Linked DNA regions of Saccharomyces cerevisiae S288C. The gene in region 1 interacts genetically with each later gene. Each region holds a gene or a part of one and is shown on either strand. Other genes may lie near its edges.

Region 1 (2,865 bases):
CCCCTTGATTTTGATTTTCAGTGTGAATACAAACCATGAAAGTGTGGCCTATCGATCCTTTAGTCCCTCGGAATTTGAGGCTAGAGGTGCCAGAAAAGTTACCACAGGGATAACTGGCTTGTGGCAGTCAAGCGTTCATAGCGACATTGCTTTTTGATTCTTCGATGTCGGCTCTTCCTATCATACCGAAGCAGAATTCGGTAAGCGTTGGATTGTTCACCCACTAATAGGGAACGTGAGCTGGGTTTAGACCGTCGTGAGACAGGTTAGTTTTACCCTACTGATGAATGTTACCGCAATAGTAATTGAACTTAGTACGAGAGGAACAGTTCATTCGGATAATTGGTTTTTGCGGCTGTCTGATCAGGCATTGCCGCGAAGCTACCATCCGCTGGATTATGGCTGAACGCCTCTAAGTCAGAATCCATGCTAGAACGCGGTGATTTCTTTGCTCCACACAATATAGATGGATACGAATAAGGCGTCCTTGTGGCGTCGCTGAACCATAGCAGGCTAGCAACGGTGCTCTTGGCGGAAAGGCCTTGGGTGCTTGCCGGCGGATAGCAATGTCATTTTGAGTGGGGATAAATCATTTGTATACGACTTGGATGTACAACGGGGTATTGTAAGCAGTAGAGTAGCCTTGTTGTTACGATCTGCTGAGATTAAGCCTTTGTTGTCTGATTTGTTGGCACGAGCCGGCGGGAGCGGGCTCATACTAACGAAGACGAACCAAAAGATACACAGTAGCGGGACGAGAGTCTCGCAGCTGTCTGGCGGGCGGCGAAGTGCGGGTAACGCAGTAGCGGCGCTGTGGGCGCTGCTCGAGCGTTCTGGCAGAGAGGCGGTCCGGGTAAGCGTGTGCTGCATCGTGGCTCTCAGGTCTGTTTCGCTGGTCTGTGAGCGCTGCGTGTGCGTGTGCGTGTGCTAAGACGGGGTCCGGGTAACGTGCTTGCGCGCGGAAAAAAAAAAAAGATTGCAGCACCTGAGTTTCGCGTATGGTCACCCACTACACTACTCGGTCAGGCTCTTACCAGCTTAACTACAGTTGATCGGACGGGAAACGGTGCTTTCTGGTAGATATGGCCGCAACCGAAATAGTTAGGTGTGGCAGCCGTACATATGGAAGCCGGGCGATGGCTCCGCCACGTGCAAAGTGCAGGAGCTTTGGAAAGAGCGTGCATATAGTGATGAAAACAGAGAGCACGGTTGCGAACGGAGGGTCTCACAATGTCTCAAAGGATAAATCTCTTGGTTTGCGGGCCGCATACAAGATATGATTGTAGTTTTTTCAATGGCTCTACTGTCCCACTGCTGTACAACAGAAAATGAGAGATCAGAGAAATAGTATTCCGGAAGCCAGTGGTGTTTACTTATTAGTTTTTTGACGCCACTGCGCGAGTTGCTGCCTAGCTGTTCCTTGGCCAACGCATATTGGAACTTCATTCGACTGATATGCTTACTCAGAGGTCCATTACTTCAAGAATTGTCTCACCTATCGGGCTTGGCGTTTGTACAAGAAGAAACTTTCATCACCTTTGTTTCGCCACCAAATGAAAAAAAAAACTTGCATGGCTTAGGTGGTTCTTTGTCAGAAATATCTTCTAAGGATCAAGAGTCTTACGTGATTCTAATCCCTTGGCAAGTCAGATCTCAAATATGCTCACTCGCAGATGAGTAGCAATGAATGCGACCAAGTGACTAGTGACTGGTGACGACATGAGCCAAGCTGGAACCAGCAGCTTTCACGTCGGCTTATAGCTCTCTATGGGGCAATCAACCACTCATAGTGACTGAAGATCTTTTTAATATAATTACATTGCTAAAAACGTCATACCGCCTTGTGAGCACGATAAACAGCATATGCATTGAGCCTTGTTATTCTTCGGAACTGGGGATAGTAAAATGCGACCCGCTTAGGATGATCAAGCTATCTTTGGGACGGAGTTTTGTCATGGGAGTGGTCATCCTACTGGTGATGCTTCAACATTTGATTTACTAAATTTTGAAATCGGCCGCAGAATAAAACTATTATGTCCAAACAATTGATGGTCGAACCAACGTTAAGGGTTTCAAGTATTGAATTGAACTTTTATGAGTTCTATAATTTCGTTGCGCAAATTCAACTAAACCACCAATATCCCCCCTACAACGCTACACTTTATACCGATAGAGGAATAACGCATAGAGCCTTCGTAGAATTCTTCAACTCGTACGTGATGGGGATTCTAAACCTATCGTCATGTCGCTGTACAAGGCTGCTGCCTGCTTTCAAATTCCCAATTTTACCATGTCCGTTTCGCTGAGCCGAATCGTCACACAAGGTAATTAGTTCTGGGTATCGCTTCAGTATAGCACTGGTTTTTTCCTTGTAAAACCACAGTCTAACAATTAAATGAAGCTTTTCGAAGAAATTAGACCATGTTAGACTGAAAGCAAAGACTCCGGCCCGTTCTGAGGTAAGTTCAATGAAATTGGACAGTTTCTTTTCAAGGTTAGGTTTTGTGTTCGAAAAAAATAGATTACCGCACCTCCTTTCCAAACCCCATGAGTTTCCATTAAGGAAGAGCAACGTCAATAATACCACCTTTTGCAGATGTGATTCAACTCAAGATGCTGTAATCTTTCCCTTCTGACCCTAGATCACCTCATGATATCCTTTTGAGGCAATTAAAGCTGCAGTGTAAACTGTTGAATATCTTTTTGAAACCAAAAAAAAGGACGTTCCACACTTGGCTGCTTTCTTGATAAGCGAGATCTTTACTTGGAGATCTCGCTTAGTCCTCCGAAGGGTAAACCCCGTCTCTTATCTTTAAAAAAATGTATCAGACCCTTCAGCACGTGACAGACAGCAAACTACCAGTC
Region 2 (5,531 bases), on another chromosome or scaffold:
TCTAAAAATATTCTCATAATATTCTAAAAATATCTAGCCTAGGTAATTGCAATTATTTTGAGTCTGGTTATTTTGAGTTGACCATGTTCACTTCCTTTTCAGTCATCAAGACAACGTGTTTACCATCTAATGGGGAATCAAACAGATAAAACTAGAAACTGAGCAAAAATACTTTGATTTGCTAATGTCGCCAGTAGTACGATAATACTATAAAGATATGCTGTTGAAGCTGATATTTAAAGAATGAGAATCTCTAAGGGATCATAGTCTAGAATGGTATTCTGCAAAACAAATTTTAAATGGTGAAAACTTTTCCTCACTATGTCCAATTGATGCTTCTTAGGATGACGTTAGAATTTTATTTTAGTGCAGGCATTACCTTGCTAAGTTCATTCATTAAAGTACTAATATACCTCTTACTGGCATGCATTTACCTAAGTGGTCTCCGTTAGCCGTGGTCTTTTCGAACGCAACAACTTTCAAGTTAAGTAAAAATGATTTATTCTATAAAATATGTATGTAGTGGGAAAGACTCGACAGACCTGCTTGCCAAGTTCTCTTTCTAAGCAATTGAGTTGGCCAGTCCCCCTGAAAATGCTAATGCCCATGTGCGACTCATTCCGTTATCCAAATATGTGGATGAATCAAAAGTTGAATCACTGAAAAATGCATACGAATCTACTGGGTCGAAGAGTGCTTGATTCAGCTTCAATATGCCTGTCCAGCCGCTTTCTATCGATTCAATAATTGGCTCGATTTTAGTCTGCCATTCTTCTTCGACGAAAGTCTCAGAACGAATATTAGAAGAAACTGGTGTGATAGGTAGCATATGAATACCGTGGATATATTCTGTGTTTGTTCCAAAATAAGTAGTATAATCGATAATATTATCGAATAAAATACCACTCACTTTATTTCCTATGATTTCTTCAGGCTCAACTGTGTTGTCATTTTGATAATAGAAATAGTCGTTCATTGCATCCTTCATTATACTAATCATCAAGTCACCCCTCAATTCCATTGACTGGTCACCGATAGTGGCCCCCCATAACTTCATAGCATAGGCAAAATTGTAATCTTCACTACTACTTTCTTCGTTCTTACCGTTACCGTTTTCATAAAGTCCAGCTGCCCATGAATGACCGTTGAACCAATCAAACATTCTCGATTGTGCAAAGTATTCATCTTTTTCAGATGGATTTGCGACATCTCTTACCAATGAATTGACCCAATCTTTATTGTCGGCAGCCCAAGTACCATTCAGTTTAGAGTCAACATAGCCGATGACAGCAGCTGCATGAATAATGTAACCATAATGGAAATGATGGTCATTGTAATAAGTGTTACCAAAATCGTATTGCGTGCTGGTGGAACCCCAATCTCCTGAACTGACCAAACCGTTGAACTTTGTGTCGTAAATTAGTGGATACGTCTGTTCATTTTGTAGCAGAATATCAAAGGCCGATTTGATGTTTTCCAAAGTACTCTTAGTACTGGCTTCATCTTGGATGATTTCGGAGACCGTTAATAGAATGTAAGAATACTTATCGATAACTTTACCCAAATAATATGTGTTTAACCCGCTTATACTTTCGGAAATACTAACCTGTAATTCGGAATTGGCAACTTCAGCTAATAATTGCAATTGTTCTTTAGAATACTCTAAAAGGTTTGAGCCAAGTTGAGAAGACCATGGTAACCAAGATATTTGTCTGTTTAGAGATGTGGAAAATTGTAGGCTCGTTGTTAGATAACCGTTCATTACACCCTTAGTTGTAGAAGCGAGTTGAATGCCGGTATAGTAGTCTTGCATTATATCACTAAATGAAGATTCATGATGGGGCAAGGCAAAAATCATTGTGCTACCTGATGCCGACTCACCTTGGGTGGTATAAGAAAATTCATAGGTAGCTGTAGAACCGTCAGAGACACCCTGCAGCTTGAAATTAGTAACGTACATACCTGCGGCTTGATCATAAAAGACCTCGTAATCAGTTTCAGAAGGTGCGACGGCCAATTGAATGATAAGACCATCAACACTAGCGCTTGCTTTAATTTCATATTCTGAGCTCACCTCCAATGAAAAGTCCGTTGAGGTTAAATCGTCTGGTCCTATCACGTAACATAACCAAGTGACTCCATTCAAAAGGGTGATACGATATTTGAGAATACCCTGAGCTAAATTGCTTGATGATTCAGAAACAATGGTATTGAATCCGACGCTGGAACCAATCTTGGCATTTAAAGATCCATGATATATACCAGTTGCAAATCCCATACCTTGAACCAAAGGTATTTCCAGGTAGTTCGAAGAATCATTGGATTCTGATAGCACTACCCTTGTTGAAGACAAGGTCATTTCATCAACTTGCATAGTCATACTTGAATCAAAATTCGAAGCTGAGAAAACAACATGAGCAATTCCCAAAGGATTGACCAAATATTCTGCATTACCGGAACTGTCATAACCACCGTAGCTATATTGATCTACTGTTGTATGTTGAACAGCAAAACCATATGAACTCGAGGTGTACTTCCACAATGAATAAGGATACACAAAGGCAGGTGATTCCTGACTACCAACAATCAAATTTGTATAAAACTTGTTTGTTTGAATGGGACCATCGTTTGACACCCCATCAGCCAATGACATAGGATTTGGTGATCTGTCAAAAACAGTTGGTGGTTCATCTGTCGAAACAGCATTGAAAAGATTGACAATGGTCGTTGTTGAAGAGTTCTCCGTTGTGGTAGCGGTGCTACTGGTCGAGGTTGACAGAGAAGAGGAGGAAGTTTTTGTTTGTCTCGAAGATGAGGACGAAGAGATGGTAGCTTGCATTGAAGAAGATACATAAATGGTATCTAATGTCGAAGAAACCGGAGAGGAAGAAGAATCTACTGTTGAAAATAGTGATGACAAAAGAATGTTTCCTGTTGAACTCGATGGATAAACTGGACTAACAGTCGATGATAGTGATGGTGATGGTGAAGAACCGTTTTCTGTAATGTTTGAAGGGTAAATTGGACTAGTTGTCGAATATAGTGATACAGATGGAGAAAGAGTGATTTGTGTCCTATTAGATGGGTAAGCAGGGCTTGCTGTTGTAGATGCGAGCGTCTGGACTAAATCCTGGGTTGAGTTGGATGGATAGAACAAAGTCGAGGAAGCAGGAGTTGAAGCAATGAAGGAATCTTCGCCGGTAGCTGTAGCTGCATTTGTCCTTACTGAAATAGTATATATCGTTTTATTCGAGGTCAATGAAGAAGGAATAATTTTTGTTTCTTGGGAAGAATAGGAAGGCATTTGAGTTACCAGTGGATCGATTGTACCTTTTGAAACAGAAGTCAATAAAGTTCCATTTAATTGTGTCCCCGAAATAGATAAAGATGAAGAAAATAAAGTCGAAGTCGAAGTCGAAGCAGTTTGAGATAATAATGTGGTGACTTTACGCATTGTTGATGCACTTGGCATGACTGAGGCGACGCCGGAAACCGAACTCAAATTGTGTACTGAACTTTTGCTTTTCGAATTATCATTTGCGTAAATATTTGAAACAGTGACAGGATCATTATTGGTTTGTGCGCTTATTTTTTGAGATACTTGGCTTGCGTAGTTTGATAACGACAATGACAGTTGAACTGCTGTTCTTGTATTAGAATCACTGTCTTGTGAATTAATTGGAGATGCGCTCACTCTATTTTTTGGCGAAACTGAGAGAGGGCTATGAGAAGCTGCAGATACTCTTGTTACAACCACCGATTGTGCAACATAAGGCTCACCTACTGTCAAAGTAGCGTAAGATAAAGTTTCAATTAAATCAGTTTCCAATATTTCGTCTGCATTATTCGATATGAAACTTATATATGAACATTCGACGAAACTTAATAGAAAAAGAAGTGTCAGATATAATTGCATACTAGCTGTTTTTTTGTTTTCTTTTCTGTATGCAGACCGTTACTATGGTTATCTACTTGTTGAAACAAGCACAAGAAACATACTTGATATTCATTTTTGAAACAAATTGCACCAAGTATTTATATGTAGTCCTTTACCCTCGCTTGTAGTCTTCGTATGGTGTATATGCTTTGCTACTCTTTTCATACCCAGCTCTTATTTTTAACTTTTTGGGTTCAGCTTTATGATTAACTAGTTTTTCCTTGGTAACCAAATTGGGAGATTTCGTGCCTTTTCTGCTGGCTTTCATAACAAAATATAGCCGAAAAGAGCTTAGCGCAGCTGAACTCGGTAACAAGGTTCAGGTAAAAAGGGGAGAAAAAAAGAAAAGAAAGCCAGATCTTTCAAAAATATGCCAGCAAATACCAAATTGGTCATAAAATAGCTAGCACTCCGCTATCGAGCAAGTTCTCTTGGCAAGCAGGCTTATTCTATTCTTTTGCTGAAGGAAAGGCCAGTTCTATGCTTATAACCTTAAGTAGGAAACATATGCGCAGCTTACAGCGCATAAAATTGATGGCAACCCATTTAGTGGTACTATTCCTGCGTTATTACTAGTATGGTCGCTTTAAAGAGTGGTAAGATTTCACATTTTCAAATCTAAAAAGCAAAGTTTATCACTTGAAATGTACCTCTCTGTGGGCTTTCACTACCTTGTACATTTTCTTAGCAGTTCCGTACATTTTTTTAAACAATGAAAATTCAAAGTTCTATGTATAGAGATTATTTAGGTTTTTAGTACTTAAAGTATTTTGAGAATACCTTGGCAAACGCAGAACAATCGTAAAAGAGATTGCTACTGCGCACTGTTTCCTTGCTTTATCACTTTCAGTTCTGCAAGAACTAAGGTGTTTATCAGTAATGATACTGTAATATCAATAGCGATAAAAACTTCGTCAGTGAAACCATTCTTTTTAACAGCCATCTATCAAATAAAAGAGTTTTTAACTTGAACTGGGATATCAATTTCAGCAGATCCAACACCTTTATCAAAATGAAGTTTTACGCGGAGGAAATATGACCTCGAGCATAAACAACTTTCAAAACTTGGCACTATGGTAGCTTTAAAATCATCATTATATTTTATATTCAATAACAGTGTTCTCTTATACTCAGTTGAACTGACCTGATTCCATTCATTTGATTTCCGATGTGAAAGTACCGAATGGTGATAGTTTGATGGGGAGGTTTTTTTATTCCTAGAAGTTCGAGGAATTATGCTGGATATAGGAGAAGAAGCAACAGGCACACTTTTCTCTCCAACCAACTTCGTTTTCAACGCATTTTTCATGACAACAACATTGGCTTCCATATTGGCTAAAACCTGTACGTCCTTAATTATACTCGAAGGCATTAAATCAGAAAAATCGAGCGATCTATTACGCAGGCTAGCTCTTGCGTCATCGGCAAGAAGTAAGTTTATTTTTGTTTGATTTTTAGTGAACTCATCGCGATATGCTTCAATGTTTTCCAAAATTTCCTTAAATATTTTCTTAATTTCATTGTATTTGTGCTTCTTTAAAAGTAAATCACTGTGGAACCTCACTGGTTTGCAATCTTTTGTGTTCGTTGTTAA
Region 3 (6,629 bases), on another chromosome or scaffold:
AGTCACAGCTCTTACGCACCTGTTTGGCCGCACATGAGAGTTAAACGCAAACTCCGCCGAGGCGTCGTTTTTCTAGCTGCTGCTTCACGTTTTATGGAGTCATATTCTGGTCTAAAAAAATTATACTAGGCAGGTAATGGATTGTTTTAAGTTTCTTGTTAACTCACATAGGATCTTTTTTGAGTACCTTGTGAAATGGTTAGATTTGATACCTTATTTTTTTCCAACATTACATTATTTTAGTATCGTTCAAGTTCTCCTTTACTTTTAGAGATTACGCCTACATTATGTATGCCGAACTTAGTAGGAACTATTTGTACGCAAAACATGAATTGTTTGTCGTGTCTGCATACATTAGTGTTGACAGTCAGAGAACTTGATTTTAAAAATAAAAGTTTCTTGTTTACAAAAAAGTATGGTCACCCGGTGTCTTTGCTATAATGGGAACAGAAAACCATTTGCAAGACTACTAAAATACGATTTTGTAATTTGACGTTACAAATATAGGGATAGTTGATAAATAGTTACGCGCAGTTAACTTTTCCTCACCAAAGGACAGTTATTTACCTACTGATTGAAAATGTTTTGGCACAGGATACCAGTTTTCAAATTTATTAATTAATTAAGGAGAAGTGAGAAATGATTAGAAAGCAATTAAGCGGTGAAGGTCTGCTTTTTATACTTACAAGAACGTATTATTAGCAGCCAACGCACTACAGTTGTTGACTAAGTTTTGTTTTAATTTGATTCGTAGTTGTTGGTCGAATTTTGTTTTGACTTGTTTTCAGTTTCTTTTTTTTTAATGCCTGACGTTGAAGAGCACGCAGGCCTATGAAAAAAAAAAATTATACGAGTTACTTGGAATTCGCTCCCATTGCACCAATTTCAGGAAGCGATCAAAAAGAAAGCAATGTTATTCAACATAACTTTATTCATACTGTAGTAACAATAACTTCATATCAATTAGGATTCACTGTTCATTGACTTATCACTACAATATGGAGGAAACGTTGCGTAATCGTTGTCGCTATAGATATTGTCCCTCCCTTCCTCTGTGATAGTTCTTCTTTATATAACTTTCACAAAAGCTTCTGCCCTCATAGTTGCCCTCAATAAACGAAAGGCCAGATGCATACAGGTGCAGTAGTACATCCAAAGAAACATAGGGGCAAAAACCGTGTTCTAATATTAGACTGCATATATCCCCTTGTCATTAGCTTAAATCATATAGAGTAATATGTACATACAGGTTATTTTATTTGTAGCTTTCCTCCTCTTTATGGAGCAAAGTAAGCCATACGAACGGTTTACAATAGAGAGCGTCGTTTGCTTACGTGATTGTCATGTGCCTTCGTAGGCAAAGGGGATTGCACACCTTTTTACTAAACAATAGAAAAGTGAGAATTCTCTTATAGGCACTGCTGCTCCTCGTTTCTTTTTACGCGCTGTCGTTCCAGGTCCTTTTTTCGATTAACTACGGTAGTTTCAAAGAGAGTGCCTGAAGATCACTCCATATACAGGCTAGATGAACTGTAAACGAGCTCATCAGCAGCGTCCCTTTCAGTGTCACTACAGCCACAGCAGCTTACCTCCTGTACGATGTGACAGAGCAAAACACAAATGTGTGTCCTTTCTACTCTTATTTTCCAACTCGAATATAAAGACGGTGCCTTTGCCTTATTTCTAAGGCACTGAACAGTTCTAAAAGTAAAGTTTTCCCTAGCCTTAGTACCGTTTCTGTGAAGCAGTTATTGAATAGTTATTGGACATAAAAATCCATATTGAAAAAAAAAAAAACATACTTGAGAAGGCATTAGCTGAATAGTAAAGACTGCTGTAATTCATCTCTCAGTCCTTGCAGTCTGCTTTTTCTGGAATTAATATGTCAATTTCAAAGTACTTCACTCCCGTTGCTGACGGGTCACTCACTTTCAATGGCGCGAACATTCAATTTGGCGCCGATGCTCAAGGCGAGTCAAAAAAGAGTTATGACGCTGAGGACAGCATGCCGAATCCGGCAAATCAACTAAATGACATAACCTTCCAAGCAGAGGCTGGTGAAATGGTTTTGGTTTTGGGTTATCCCACATCCACTCTATTTAAGACTTTGTTTCATGGTAAAACTAGTTTGTCATACTCTCCTCCAGGCTCGATTAAATTTAAAAATAATGAGTTTAAGAGCTTTTCCGAAAAATGTCCCCACCAAATCATTTACAATAATGAACAAGATGTGCATTTCCCATTTCTAACGGTAGAACAAACAATTGATTTTGCCTTGAGTTGTAAGTTCGATATTCCAAAAGGTGAGCGCGATCAAATAAGAAATGAACTTCTAAGAGAATTCGGCCTGTCTCATGTATTGAAAACTATTGTAGGAAATGATTTTTTCCGTGGTGTTTCTGGTGGTGAGCGTAAACGTATTTCTATTATTGAAACGTTTATTGCTAATGGTTCCGTTTATCTATGGGATAATTCTACTAAAGGTTTAGATTCCGCCACAGCTCTCGATTTTTTGGAAATTCTTAGAAAAATGGCAAAAGCTACTCGTTCTGTAAACTTAGTCAGAATTTCCCAGGCAAGTGATAAAATTGTTGATAAGTTTGACAAGATTCTTATGCTATCCGATTCCTACCAGCTTTTCTATGGTACGGTCGATGAGTGTTTGACTTATTTTCGTGACACTTTAGGTATTGAGAAAGATCCTAACGATTGTATTATTGAATATCTGACCTCTATCTTAAATTTTCAGTTCAAAAATAAAAATTTGGGGAATTTATCAAATTCATCATCTGCTAGCGTTCTCAAAACCGCAACAGGGGAAGTCACTAAGTATACTTATAATTCTGATTTCGATTTATATGATCAATGGAAACATTCTTCGTACTATAGAAATATAAAGCAGCAAATCCAGGGGTCTTCAATTGATGACTCCATTAAGGAAGTGGATCCCTCTGATGTCTCACCTATTTTTAATATTCCGTTGAAGAAACAATTATTATTTTGCACAAAAAGAGCTTTTCAACGAAGTTTGGGTGATAAAGCTTATATGACGGCACAATTTATTTCTGTCGTTATTCAATCTTTGGTCATTGGTTCACTGTTTTACGAAATTCCGTTGACTACCATTGGTTCATACTCAAGAGGTTCTTTAACCTTTTTCTCCATTCTTTTCTTCACTTTTCTTTCTCTTGCAGATATGCCTATTGCCTTCCAAAGACAACCCGTCGTTAAAAAGCAATCCCAACTTCACTTCTATACTAACTGGGTTGAAACCCTTTCAACAACAGTGTTCGACTACTGCTTTAAACTTTGTTTGGTAATTGTATTCAGTATCATCCTATACTTCCTTGCTCACCTGCAATACAAGGCTGCAAGATTTTTCATTTTCCTCCTGTTCCTTTCCTTTTACAATTTCTGTATGGTGTCCTTATTCGCTTTGACGACACTAGTTGCTCCAACCATTTCAGTTGCAAATTTATTTGCAGGTATTCTGCTACTAGCTATAGCAATGTATGCTTCTTACGTCATCTACCTGAAAAATATGCATCCTTGGTTTGTATGGATTGCTTATCTAAATCCTGCAATGTACGCTATGGAGGCAATACTGTCTAATGAGCTTTACAATTTGAAGCTGGATTGTAGTGAGACAATTGTTCCAAGAGGTCCTACTTACAACGATGTTCCATTTTCCCATAAGGCCTGTGCTTGGCAAGGTGCTACTCTGGGTAATGATTACGTTAGAGGCCGTGATTACTTGAAGCAAGGTTTATCCTACACGTATCATCATGTGTGGAGAAACTTTGGTATTATCATTGGTTTCCTAGTATTCTTTATTGCCTGTACTCTGTTTGCATCTCAATATATTAAGCCTTATTTCAATAAGGATGAAATAGAGCGCAACAATAGTCGTTTGACAAGATGGCTACCATTTTTGAATAAAAAGAGAGGTACCAGGTCCTCTGCAAGAAATGACAGTAAGTATGTTGGTATCCCAAAGTCGCACTCCGTTTCGTCTTCCTCGTCTAGCCTGTCGGCTGTTCCATATCAGATATCACCCTCAAATAAGGAAATGGCTCTAAACGATTATAACGAGCAACCTATCACGGAAACAGTAGAGACTCAAAAGCATATCATCTCTTGGAAAAATATCAACTACACAGTTGGTACAAAGAAACTGATTAATAATGCATCCGGTTTCATCAGTTCTGGTTTGACCGCCTTAATGGGTGAGTCCGGTGCAGGTAAAACTACTTTGCTGAATGTCTTATCACAAAGAGTTGAGACAGGTGTTGTTAGCGGCGAAATTTTGATCGATGGCCACCCATTGACAGATGAGGACGCGTTTAAGAGAAGTATTGGTTTTGTTCAACAACAGGATTTGCATCTAGATTTGCTGTCTGTGAAAGAATCTCTGGAAATATCATGTCTTTTGAGAGGTGATGGTGACAGGGCATACTTAGACACTGTTTCAAATTTACTGAAATTGCCATCTGACATTTTAGTCGCTGATTTAAACCCGACTCAAAGGAAGCTTTTATCTATCGGTGTTGAACTTGTTACTAAGCCTTCACTTTTATTATTCCTAGACGAACCAACCTCTGGGCTGGACGCTGAGGCTGCACTAACAATCGTCAAATTTTTAAAACAACTTTCTTTACAGGGTCAGGCTATTTTTTGTACCATTCATCAGCCTAGTAAAAGTGTCATCAGCCATTTTGACAATATTTTCTTATTGAAAAGGGGTGGTGAATGTGTCTTCTTTGGACCAATGGACGATGCCTGCGGCTATTTCATGTCTCATGACAACACGCTCGTTTACGATAAAGAACATGATAACCCTGCAGATTTCGTCATTGATGCAGTAGGTAACAGTAACTCCTCGGCAGGGAAAGATACAGCGGAGGAAGCTCTTACTTTGAACAAAGAAGCCATAGATTGGAGTGCATTATGGGAATCTTCTGTAGAAAAGAAACTAGTTAAAAAAGAAACAGCTAGGTTAGAAGATGATGCTCGTGCGTCTGGTGTTGATTACACAACCTCATTGTGGAAGCAGCCTTCCTACTTACAGCAATTAGCTCTTATTACAAGAAGACAATATATTTGTACGAAAAGAGACATGACTTATGTCATGGCCAAGTACTGTTTGAATGGTGGCGCTGGTTTGTTTATCGGTTTCTCATTTTGGCACATTAAGCATAATATTATCGGTTTGCAGGATAGTATCTTCTTCTGTTTCATGGCTCTTTGTGTTTCATCTCCATTGATCAATCAAATTCAGGACAAAGCCTTGAAAACAAAGGAAGTTTATGTTGCTAGGGAGGCGAGATCTAACACTTATCACTGGACTGTTCTTCTTTTGTCACAGTCAATTATTGAACTACCACTGGCACTTACAAGTTCCACACTATTTTTCGTCTGTGCCTTTTTCTCTTGTGGATTTAACAACGCTGGCTGGAGTGCCGGTGTTTTCTTTTTAAACTATATGCTTTTCGCTGCTTATTACTCGACTCTTGGTTTATGGCTGATCTATACTGCTCCTAATCTACAAACTGCTGCTGTTTTTGTTGCGTTTATTTACAGTTTTACAGCATCATTCTGTGGTGTTATGCAACCATACTCTTTGTTTCCAACTTTTTGGAAATTCATGTACAGGGTTTCGCCATACACATATTTTGTGGAAACTTTTGTTAGTATTCTATTGCATAACTGGGAAATCAAGTGTGACATGTCGGAGATGGTTCCTGGTCAACCTCTGACGGGGCAATCTTGTGGCCAATTTATGGAAGCTTTCATAGAAGAATACGGTGGCTATCTACATAATAAGAACACTTTCACAGTCTGCGCTTATTGTACGTACACTGTTGGCGATGACTTCCTGAAAAATGAGAATATGAGTTACGACCACGTTTGGAGGAACTTTGGTATTGAATGGGCTTTTGTTGGTTTCAATTTCTTTGCGATGTTTGCTGGTTACTACTTAACTTACGTGGCAAGAATATGGCCAAAGGTCTTTAAAATTATCACCAAAGTAATTCCACACAGAGGGAAGAAGCCTGTACAGAACTAATACCATTTTTAAATATATTTCTACTTTCTACTTAATAGCAATTTTAATTAATCTAATTATTTACAAGTCACCAATGACTGACTAAACAATTGAAAGAGTCCTTTGTACAACAAAAAAAAAGATACTTGTCGCTGACGCTCAAAAAATATTTATATAGCAAAAGTGCACGACAAAAAATGCTTCCAATCGGATTTGAACCGATGATCTCCACATTACTAGTGTGGCGCCTTACCAACTTGGCCATAGAAGCAGTAAACCGTTATTTTGTTGTTTCTCAGAGTGGTACACGTCAGTATGACAATACATCATCCTAAAACGTTCATATGAAACAACCTTATAACAAAACGAACAGAATGAGCAACATGACATATAACTTCGCCTCCCTTAGCTTAACCACCCAAACGTATAGACGCCTGAGCAATTAATTTAGATCCGAGGTTCGGCGCTTCCACCAATTAATATGATCCATATTTTATATAATATATAGGATAAGTAACATCCCATGAAAAGCTGATAATCCGTTCTGACAACTGGTTACTTCCATTGACTGTTTATATTGGGA

The links.
Region 2: mutations in YLR162W (region 1) and DSE4 together harm fitness more than expected from each alone (negative genetic interaction), as found in Saccharomyces cerevisiae (one large-scale study listed by BioGRID).
Region 3: mutations in YLR162W (region 1) and AUS1 together harm fitness more than expected from each alone (negative genetic interaction), as found in Saccharomyces cerevisiae (one large-scale study listed by BioGRID).

Annotation. Positions count from the first base shown.
Region 1 is NC_001144.5:487,578-490,442, reverse strand, and holds YLR162W (uncharacterized protein), read right to left. Parts: upstream 871-2,865; coding exon 514-870; downstream 1-513. Other genes in the region: RRT15 (Rrt15p), read right to left, coding at 1-37; YLR161W (uncharacterized protein), read right to left, coding at 1,102-1,446. UniProt on the Saccharomyces cerevisiae protein: Overexpression confers resistance to the antimicrobial peptide MiAMP1.
Region 2 is NC_001146.8:755,184-760,714, forward strand, and holds DSE4 (endo-1,3(4)-beta-glucanase), read right to left. Parts: upstream 3,917-5,531; coding exon 563-3,916; downstream 1-562. Other genes in the region: YNR068C (uncharacterized protein), read right to left, coding at 4,884-5,531.
Region 3 is NC_001147.6:347,797-354,425, forward strand, and holds AUS1 (ATP-binding cassette sterol transporter AUS1), read left to right. Parts: upstream 1-1,882; coding exon 1,883-6,067; downstream 6,068-6,629. UniProt on the Saccharomyces cerevisiae protein: Transporter involved in the uptake of sterol.